2 linked regions of the Nothobranchius furzeri genome follow. The protein of the gene in region 2 binds, or shares a complex with, the protein of the main gene of each other region. Links are inferred from orthologs where the notes say so. Each region holds a gene or a part of one and is shown on either strand. Other genes may lie near its edges. The genes, in order: cdkn1a and cdk4.

Region 1 (3,335 bases), about 2.5 Mb from region 2:
ACTCTTTATCCTATGGATCTGTGGAGGCTTTAGGATCAGTTACCTCATTCTCAAACTTTGCCTTACATCACACTGAAACTTGGAGACAAGCAGCGAGGAGGTGGAAAAGCTGACTCAGTAGACAACAGCTTTAAAAGAGAGGAGATTTAGAAGCGAACTGCACCTGATTTGGCTCAACATGTAAGTAAAACACATTAAAGATGTTATTTTATATGTAAGAAGTTAGTAGTTGTTAAATTTAAAAGAGCTTCTAAGCATCTGAGTAAGATTTATGATTTCACAACCTTTAAAACTCAACACACACACACACACACATATATATATACACTTTTGTAGCTCATTAATAATTGTATTCTAAACATTTGAAGAACAAAAACGTTTTTACAGGACTAATGTGTTCCTAGAGGTGTGAAAAGTTGACATAAATGGATCTTTGCGATCTCATTTTTGCACATCCAGGAAATCCATAAACTCTTGTTTGGTGGTTTTAGTTTTTTTTACATGTCTGTGTGTGTGTGTGTGTGTGTGTGTGTGTGTGTGTGTGTGAGAGAGAGAGAGAGAGAGAGAGAGAGTGGGTGAGTCCAAACTGTGACATCCCAGTTTGACACGAGTTCCAGACTCACGTGGAGCAGAGTTGTAGCTGAACTGGGCTGGGTCCAACTCAGTCATGCATGACTAGCTCTCCCGCCAAAGCTTGAGTCACTCCTCCCAGAACCACCCTGCCCAGTAAAAGAAACGCCCTCCCCCTTCCTCTGTGGGACCAGGGCAGCGCAGGGATCCAGCAGGGATCCTTCAAACCCTTTTATTAACCTAATGATCCACCCACAATTGGGGAGCTTTATTCTGAGCCCTGTGCTGTGGGTGGGAGCGTTGAACACTGCATACATAGTCTTAGTGGTCATTAGATGTGTCCAACAAACCCATTTTTTAGTAAACTCTGATACAGACTGTAGTCAACTGACTTTACTACGTAGATAATTTTGATCAAAATGCAAAGGGCCCTTCTTTTTCTCATGAACAAACCAAACTGAACTCCATGATAGGAGCCAGATCAAGCTAAAATAGAGACATATTTCACTCTCATATTTTATGAATCAGAAAAAAGGGTTTGTGCTTGTGTTTGTATGAAAATAAAAATCAGAATCATATCAGATTATAACAGATGACTTGTTTCATTGACACATTTTTATTTATAACACTAATCAGTATTTTACTGAAACGCATCTTCACGTCAAATTGAAGCAGATTTTTCCAGATTCCGTTTGCAGATAACTGGAACAGCTTCTGTAAAATAAGCTCGTGTCCTCTTAATCACTGATAACGTATTTTATTCATCTCCCAATCTCATCTGCTGCACCGTAACTGGACGGGCAGGGACTGTTTTCCTTGAATGCTTCCTTCCTTCTTGGATGGTCTGAATGACCTGTTTCCCAGGTCAGAGTCAGAAAACAGTCACATGTTTCCCTCAGTTTCAACGTAAACTGAAGATGAATTATTTCTCTGGTGTTTGCCTCCGAGCTGTCTGTAGTCGGAGTGACAGTGCCACCTTGTGGTTTATCTCTCTTACACCAAACACCACAACAGCAGAGGACTTGCCCTTACATGCCTGTGAGAGATTATGCCCAGACATGTACCAGAGAGGAGGGCTAGTGACTCACTGCTGCTGCTGCACTGCATTATAAAAGCCCGTCAGCTCACAGAAGCAGTCTAGTTCACTGAGGAGCTGTTAGGCTAGAACCATGGTGAGTCTGACTAAACTTTGTTTAAATCACTGGTTTGAAAATATTAAAAACATTTAGTTTGTGTACTTTTTAGACTGTGGACAAAATAGATTGTGGCTTTTGAAACTAATCAGTTTTCCTGTTTTTACCTACAGTGCAGAGGGATGGCTACACTTCACAAGCGAGCCCTCAGTACTCTAAGAAGGAACGGTCCCCCTCGGCGGAGCCTGTTTGGCCCAGTGGACCGAGAACAGCTCCAGATGGAGTACCGGACTGCCCTGCGTAAAGATCTGGAGGAGGCTTCCCAACGCTGGGGGTTCGACTTCTTCTCCGACAAACCTCTGGAGAGCGGTGATTTCCAGTGGGAGATTGTCCCAGGTACCAGGGTGCCACTGCCCTACAGATCCAGCGTCATCTGTGCAGGACATGCAGAGGGTCAAAGGTCAGCAGGTGCAACCAAAAGAGGAAGGGTGGTGGTACCAGAGAGGGAGAAAGAGAACTTCCCCCAAACTCTAGAGAAATGTTCTCTGAGTCTGGAGAACATGGAGACAACATCAGAGACGGAAGACAAATCAGGAATGAAGAGGAAACAGACAAACATTACAGGTATGTTTAGATATTTTTTATATCAAATTAGAAACACTCATCTTTTCTCATAAGCTAAGTATCCTCTTCTTTAACCCAACAGATTTCTATCAGGCTAAAAGAAGAGTTGTCTGGCTGCCGAGGAAATCCGGGGAGTGATATTTCCTTTGAAGGTGCCAAAACTCCCAAGAGAACCAGACAAAGAACCAGCACCTCCTTCAGGAATCAGTTGTTCCACACCGAGCAGCGGGAGTGCTGAATCATCCAACAAAAAAAAAACAAAAAAAAGAAAAAAAAAACCCAGAAGGCACCAGGCTAATTAAGATGCTGCATGTGTGAGGGGTCTGGTGTTTTCTGTCCACGCTGCAGTTAAGAAGGTGACATTTGAGCAGAGAAGATTAACAGTAATCTCTGGAATCAGTGGATTTATACTCATTTGGACTGAGAGCTCGCCAAATTGCTGACTGACATTTGTTACGGCGCGTCACACAGCTCTTAACCCTCTCGGTCTCGTTTTGATAAAAGGACGAACAACTAAGTCCTTCAGGGGTGCTTCTGAGTTAAAAAATGCTCATGAGATACTTGTGTGGAGTAACCAGGTAGGTAGGTTTTAACTGTTGCAGATCTGCGATGCCTGCCTCCAGAGGGTTAAAACACAATCACATCTCAGTTTGGTGGGACTTCTGCCTGTTTGAGGATGAAAAGCAGACGTGCGAACAAATATCAGGACTCAGATTAATACGTTTCTGTGGCAAAGCCGCAGGAAAGCTAAAAACAGGAGAGCTTTGTCTATTTTGTTCAAATCTATAATTGTTTTTCTACGTCTTTTTATAGGAGTTTTTTTTTTAAGTGCATTATATTTTACATCGGGGGTTCCCAATCCTGGCCCTGGAGGGCTGGTATCCAGCAGGTTTTGTGGTTTTTCTGCTCCAACAGACTTGATTCAGTGGTTGAAACGCCTGTGCAGCAGCTCATCAGGCTCTGCAGAAGCCTGTTAATGAGCTGCTGATTGAAATCAGGTGTGTTGAA
Region 2 (4,377 bases):
GTTATCATTTATACATCATCAAGTGTGCAGCGGCTGGGATAAAGATCTTCACCTCCAGCTCTGTAGCCATAATTCTTATGTGGAGGGCCAACTCCAGGTCAAGGCAGAGGTCACGAGTGTAGGAAGGAGATCGAATGGTGGATCAGGGCAGCATCTGCAGTGATGTGGACGTTAAACCAGCCACTTGTGAAGAGGGAGCTAAGCCAGAAAGCAAAGCTCTAAATTAGGGGTGCACAATATATCGGTATCGGCCATTTTTTAACATATCTGTATCGGTCCGATAAATAAAACTAGGTCGATATTAACTGGTATTTTTTTCCATCTTGTTTCCATTTGTTTATCAGTTTCAGAGGGTGAGGGGGTGCTGTGTATTTTAGTCAAGTGACAGTGATTGCAATCATCTCAGTAGAGTAAGTGTGTGTGTGTGTGTGTGTGTGTGTGTACATAATAATGTAAATTCAGCTTTAATAATATTCAGTCTTTACAAAATCTGCTGATTTTAGAAGCATTAATGTCAGTATATCGATATCGGCCCTAACAGTGATATTAATATCGGTATCGGCCCAAAAATGTCACATCAGTGCATCTCTACTCTCAGTTTACCTGCCGGTCTTGATCCCAGTCCTCACCTGTAGTCATGAGCTTTGGGTAATGACAGAAAAAACAAGATGGCGAATACAGGGCGTACACTGTGCGACTTTTTCGTTGGTTGTTCGTCATCTGACACTGTTCACAGGGCACAGCCACGAGTCATGTTCTCACGCTCTGACCGCTCGCACTGTTGTGGTAGTAACACGCCGGTCCAAAGAATGTGTTTTAAGAGTTTTTTTCTCAACGGGTCGAACCTGTGAATCCAGAAACCTGAAAGAGAGGAGACTGTTGTGCCGTCATTGATGTCTGTTGTCCTTGAGGCCTGCCGTAGTTGTGGGAGGACACGCAGGGGTTTATGGGGAATAGAAGTAGAGGAAGAATGAAAGGCATGTAGGAACTAAACCGAGGTTTTGGGATCTGCTTTTACTTGACATGAATACAAAAGGTGCTTTCTTAACATTAACATGTGCAGAGAAAACTGTAAGTAAAAGGTGGAAACGTGTGTGGAGATGAATATGGCTGGCCAGACATTTTGGCGCGTGCGCTGTGTGAGCGGTTCTGGTACATTTGGGTCGCGGTGCAGCTTCAGCGGTGTCATACCCTCACAAGGGATCAGCAGAAATTTAAATATGCTTGATTCTCGTGCGATTGGGAGCTGGTCGGGGGGTCTTAACCGCCTCTCGTAACCCCTTCTATACTACACGACACAAAACTCGACCTGACCTCAAAGACTGTTGCATGGGTGGAAAATTGGCTCAAAATGAGCAGAAAATCACACAGCAGGCCTGGCTTTACAGAGTTTTAGGGATTATAGATTATAACAAAAGTAGCAGCATGAAACAAAAGAACAATCAAATGTCTAGTATAACATCTATTCTGGTTTATGTAGGAAGGCTCATCAGGAAGGTGTTTAACACAGTGGGCTGTTTCTACTCAGGATCTATTTAGTTTTTCACTTTCAACCAACACATCCTGCTGAAATGTGCTCACTTCTGCATCTTTACGTTTCTGGCCTGCTAGCATCATTTTTTAGTGAATTTTAACCGGTTGCTTAGTAATACTGTCACAGAGCACTATCAACTACATCTTACATTGTTGTCAGTGAACGCTGCTTTTTCTCGTAAGGGTTTGATGAATGACTGTAAACAGCCACATCTGCAGCCCAGTGAGGCACCGGCGTGCTCTCCTCAGGAGTTCAGCGTTCAGATTCATCAGCTGACGTTTACCAGGCTCACATCGAAAGCAAAACTCTGCTTCATGCGTACACACCGTGTGTTTAGCTCGAGTATGTGAAGGTTGGCTTAGATGAAGCGAAGCTTGTGCTGTTACTAATGCCAGTCTTGCGTTTGGCTCTCTTGGAGGTGGTGACGCTGTGGTACCGACCTCCTGAAGTTCTGCTGCAGTCCACGTACGCCACTCCGGTGGATATATGGAGCACCGGCTGCATCTTTGCTGAGATGTTCAGACGCAAGTGAGTCAACATAACGTTCAGATCACCGGTATCTGATCTTCTGTCAACTCGGGTTTAGCGGTTTGCTACGACTGGGATGTTTCCAGCTGATAGATGAGCGGTCTGGAAATCCGATAGAATGATTATCTGTGAAACCCGTTTGTTTTTAAAGACTTAGTTCTAGTTTATAACCCAACTTCTGATGATGATTTGCCTTTTAGACTAAATTTAGAATTTAAAAAAAAAGGGAAGGAAAAAAGCTCTGCATCCTCTTCCAAACAAGCCCGGAGATCAACGTTTTCTAGGATGTCAGCATTTGATTTCAGGCTGATGATTTTCAGGGACATAGTTTTACAGATTTTGACAGCTGGAGTTTAGTCTGGGAGCAGCCTGGGTGGACGTACCTAGAAGATATGAAGTTTATGTGTGATGTGTGCAGAGTGGCTCCATCTAGTGGTGGAAAACAGCATGACATCAGCAGCCAACAGGGTTGAAGAACTGTATTTGTTTTAGATGATTAAAATAAAAATTACGTAACTAATTTTACATGTATCGTTTTGTTTTTTAAGACCTTTATTCTGTGGAGAATCAGAAATGGACCAGCTTGGGAAAATATTTGAGTGAGTAACAAAGACTTAGCGGAACATCAGCAACCAGAACGACCAAGCAAATCATTCATTTCACTCATCTGCTTTCAGAGTTATCGGCTTGCCGCAGGAGGAGGAGTGGCCGACCGGCGTCACCGTGTCGAGGAAAAACTTTCCCGCTGTCAAAGCTCGCCCGATCACCGACTTTGTCCCAGAGATAAACGAGCAGGGGGCCAAACTGTTGATGGTAAGACTTGAGTTAACAACTGAAGGCCGATTCTTTTCTCACCTGCCAACGCCCCGGACCCCCGGGCTTTCCTGAACTAAAGCAGAATCGTACAGATGCATGACTTTTCAGCACATTATTAAAGAAATATGAAAATATAATGTAGAAAAGAAATCACACAGAAATATTTTCCTGCAGAAAGTGTCACAGCTAACCATGTGTGGGGGGAATGTTGTCAACCAAATGACTGTAAAAAAAAAAAATAAAATCTATTTTTTGCCTGTTCTCTTTCCTCCACAGCAAATGCTGACCTTTGACCCTTTGAAGCGAATATCAGCGCTGAACGCTCTAGAACATCTGTATTTCCAGGATGAGGAGACGTCGCCTCAGACAACCAGTTGAAATCATGCAGTAGAAAAAGAACCAACAGGATCCAGCGCCCTCTGAGTACAGATTATGTTTAGGGAATATTTCTTAGTTGATCCTGCTTCAGAAATCAGGATGAAACTCTGTGAGGATGAATTTGATGAGCACTGCCATGTTTTTGAGCTTGTACAAGTCACATGTAAAGATGTTATAGCAGCAGTTAAAGGGCAGCACTAGTGATTTTGATGTTTAGTCTTGGAGTCAACATGCAGAAATGTCTCGTTTAAATGCTGCTTTTGTTGCCGTACATTCTCCAGATAGGTTAGTGATGTTTGTCTTACACAGCTGTAACCCGTGTTGAAGCTGCTCGCTGTCTATAATGTGAGTGGCTGTATCTGAATCATGAACATTTTAAATGAAGTTTCAAACAGTTACAGATAAACGCACAAAAGCTTAAAAAATTGGAATTTCTTTTGAGTTATTGCACAAAAGTTTTTTGTGGAATGAATTTCACACCTTCAAATGTCACTAAACACCACACACTGAAATCTGAAATGAATAAAAGAAAGTATTCAATAATTCTGGGTCAGTTTGTTGTGTTTTACAGATGACTGTCTATAAAAATAAAACATCCTCTATCTGAACAGATGAAATATACTTTGTTCTCTAACCCATGTAAGTTTGTATTTGGAGCCACAATCAGAATTAAAGTGTAAAAACACTACAGGCAAATCCAACTTTGATGTAATGTCCTTAAAACAAGTCAAAATGAGGTTCAGTAGTGTGTGTGTGGCCTCCACGTGGTGAGGTGGTGGATGGTCTGAGGGATCTCCTCTCAGATCTGGACTAAAGCATCCTCCACTGCCTGGGCAGTCCGTGTATGATGATGTCCCACATGTGCTCAATTGGATTCAGGTTTGGCGAACAGGCAGGCCAGTCCATAGCATCATGCAGGAACTGCTGACACACTCCAGCCACATGAGGTCTAGCGTTGTCTTATATTAGAAGGAACCCAGGGCCAGCCGCATCTGCATGTTATAGCATGTTGAGGGCCGTGCCACCCCCCACCATTGCTGCCAAATCGGTCCTGCTGGAAGATGTTGCAGGCAGCAGGAGCACGGTGTTGGGCTAAAACACAACCCCAGCTTGTGGATGTC

What was found.
Region 1: the proteins of cdk4 (region 2) and cdkn1a are in contact, whole or in part, in a crystal structure (PDB 6P8H), measured with the Homo sapiens proteins. The link is inferred for Nothobranchius furzeri from reciprocal best matches to the Homo sapiens genes CDK4 and CDKN1A. Residues at the interface, in NP_000066.1 of Homo sapiens: Gly18, Thr19, Val20, Tyr21, Lys22, Ala23, Asp25, Val32, Leu34, Ser36, Met75, Asp76, Cys78, Ala79, Thr80, Lys88, Thr90, Val92; in NP_000380.1 of Homo sapiens: Met38, Cys41, Ile42, Ala45, Arg48, Trp49, Phe51, Phe53, Val54, Glu56, Asp62, Phe63, Ala64, Trp65, Glu66, Arg67.

Annotation. Positions count from the first base shown.
Region 1 is NC_091743.1:46,701,349-46,704,683, reverse strand, and holds cdkn1a (cyclin-dependent kinase inhibitor 1), read left to right. Parts: upstream 1-1,608; 5' UTR 1,609-1,739; coding exon 1,740-1,742; intron 1,743-1,876; coding exon 1,877-2,327; intron 2,328-2,409; coding exon 2,410-2,465; 3' UTR 2,466-2,776; downstream 2,777-3,335. UniProt on the Homo sapiens protein: Plays an important role in controlling cell cycle progression and DNA damage-induced G2 arrest. Involved in p53/TP53 mediated inhibition of cellular proliferation in response to DNA damage.
Region 2 is NC_091743.1:49,241,342-49,245,718, forward strand, and holds the end of cdk4 (cyclin-dependent kinase 4), read left to right. Parts: intron 1-1,952; coding exon 1,953-2,062; intron 2,063-2,610; coding exon 2,611-2,661; intron 2,662-2,739; coding exon 2,740-2,875; intron 2,876-3,154; coding exon 3,155-3,256; 3' UTR 3,257-3,799; downstream 3,800-4,377.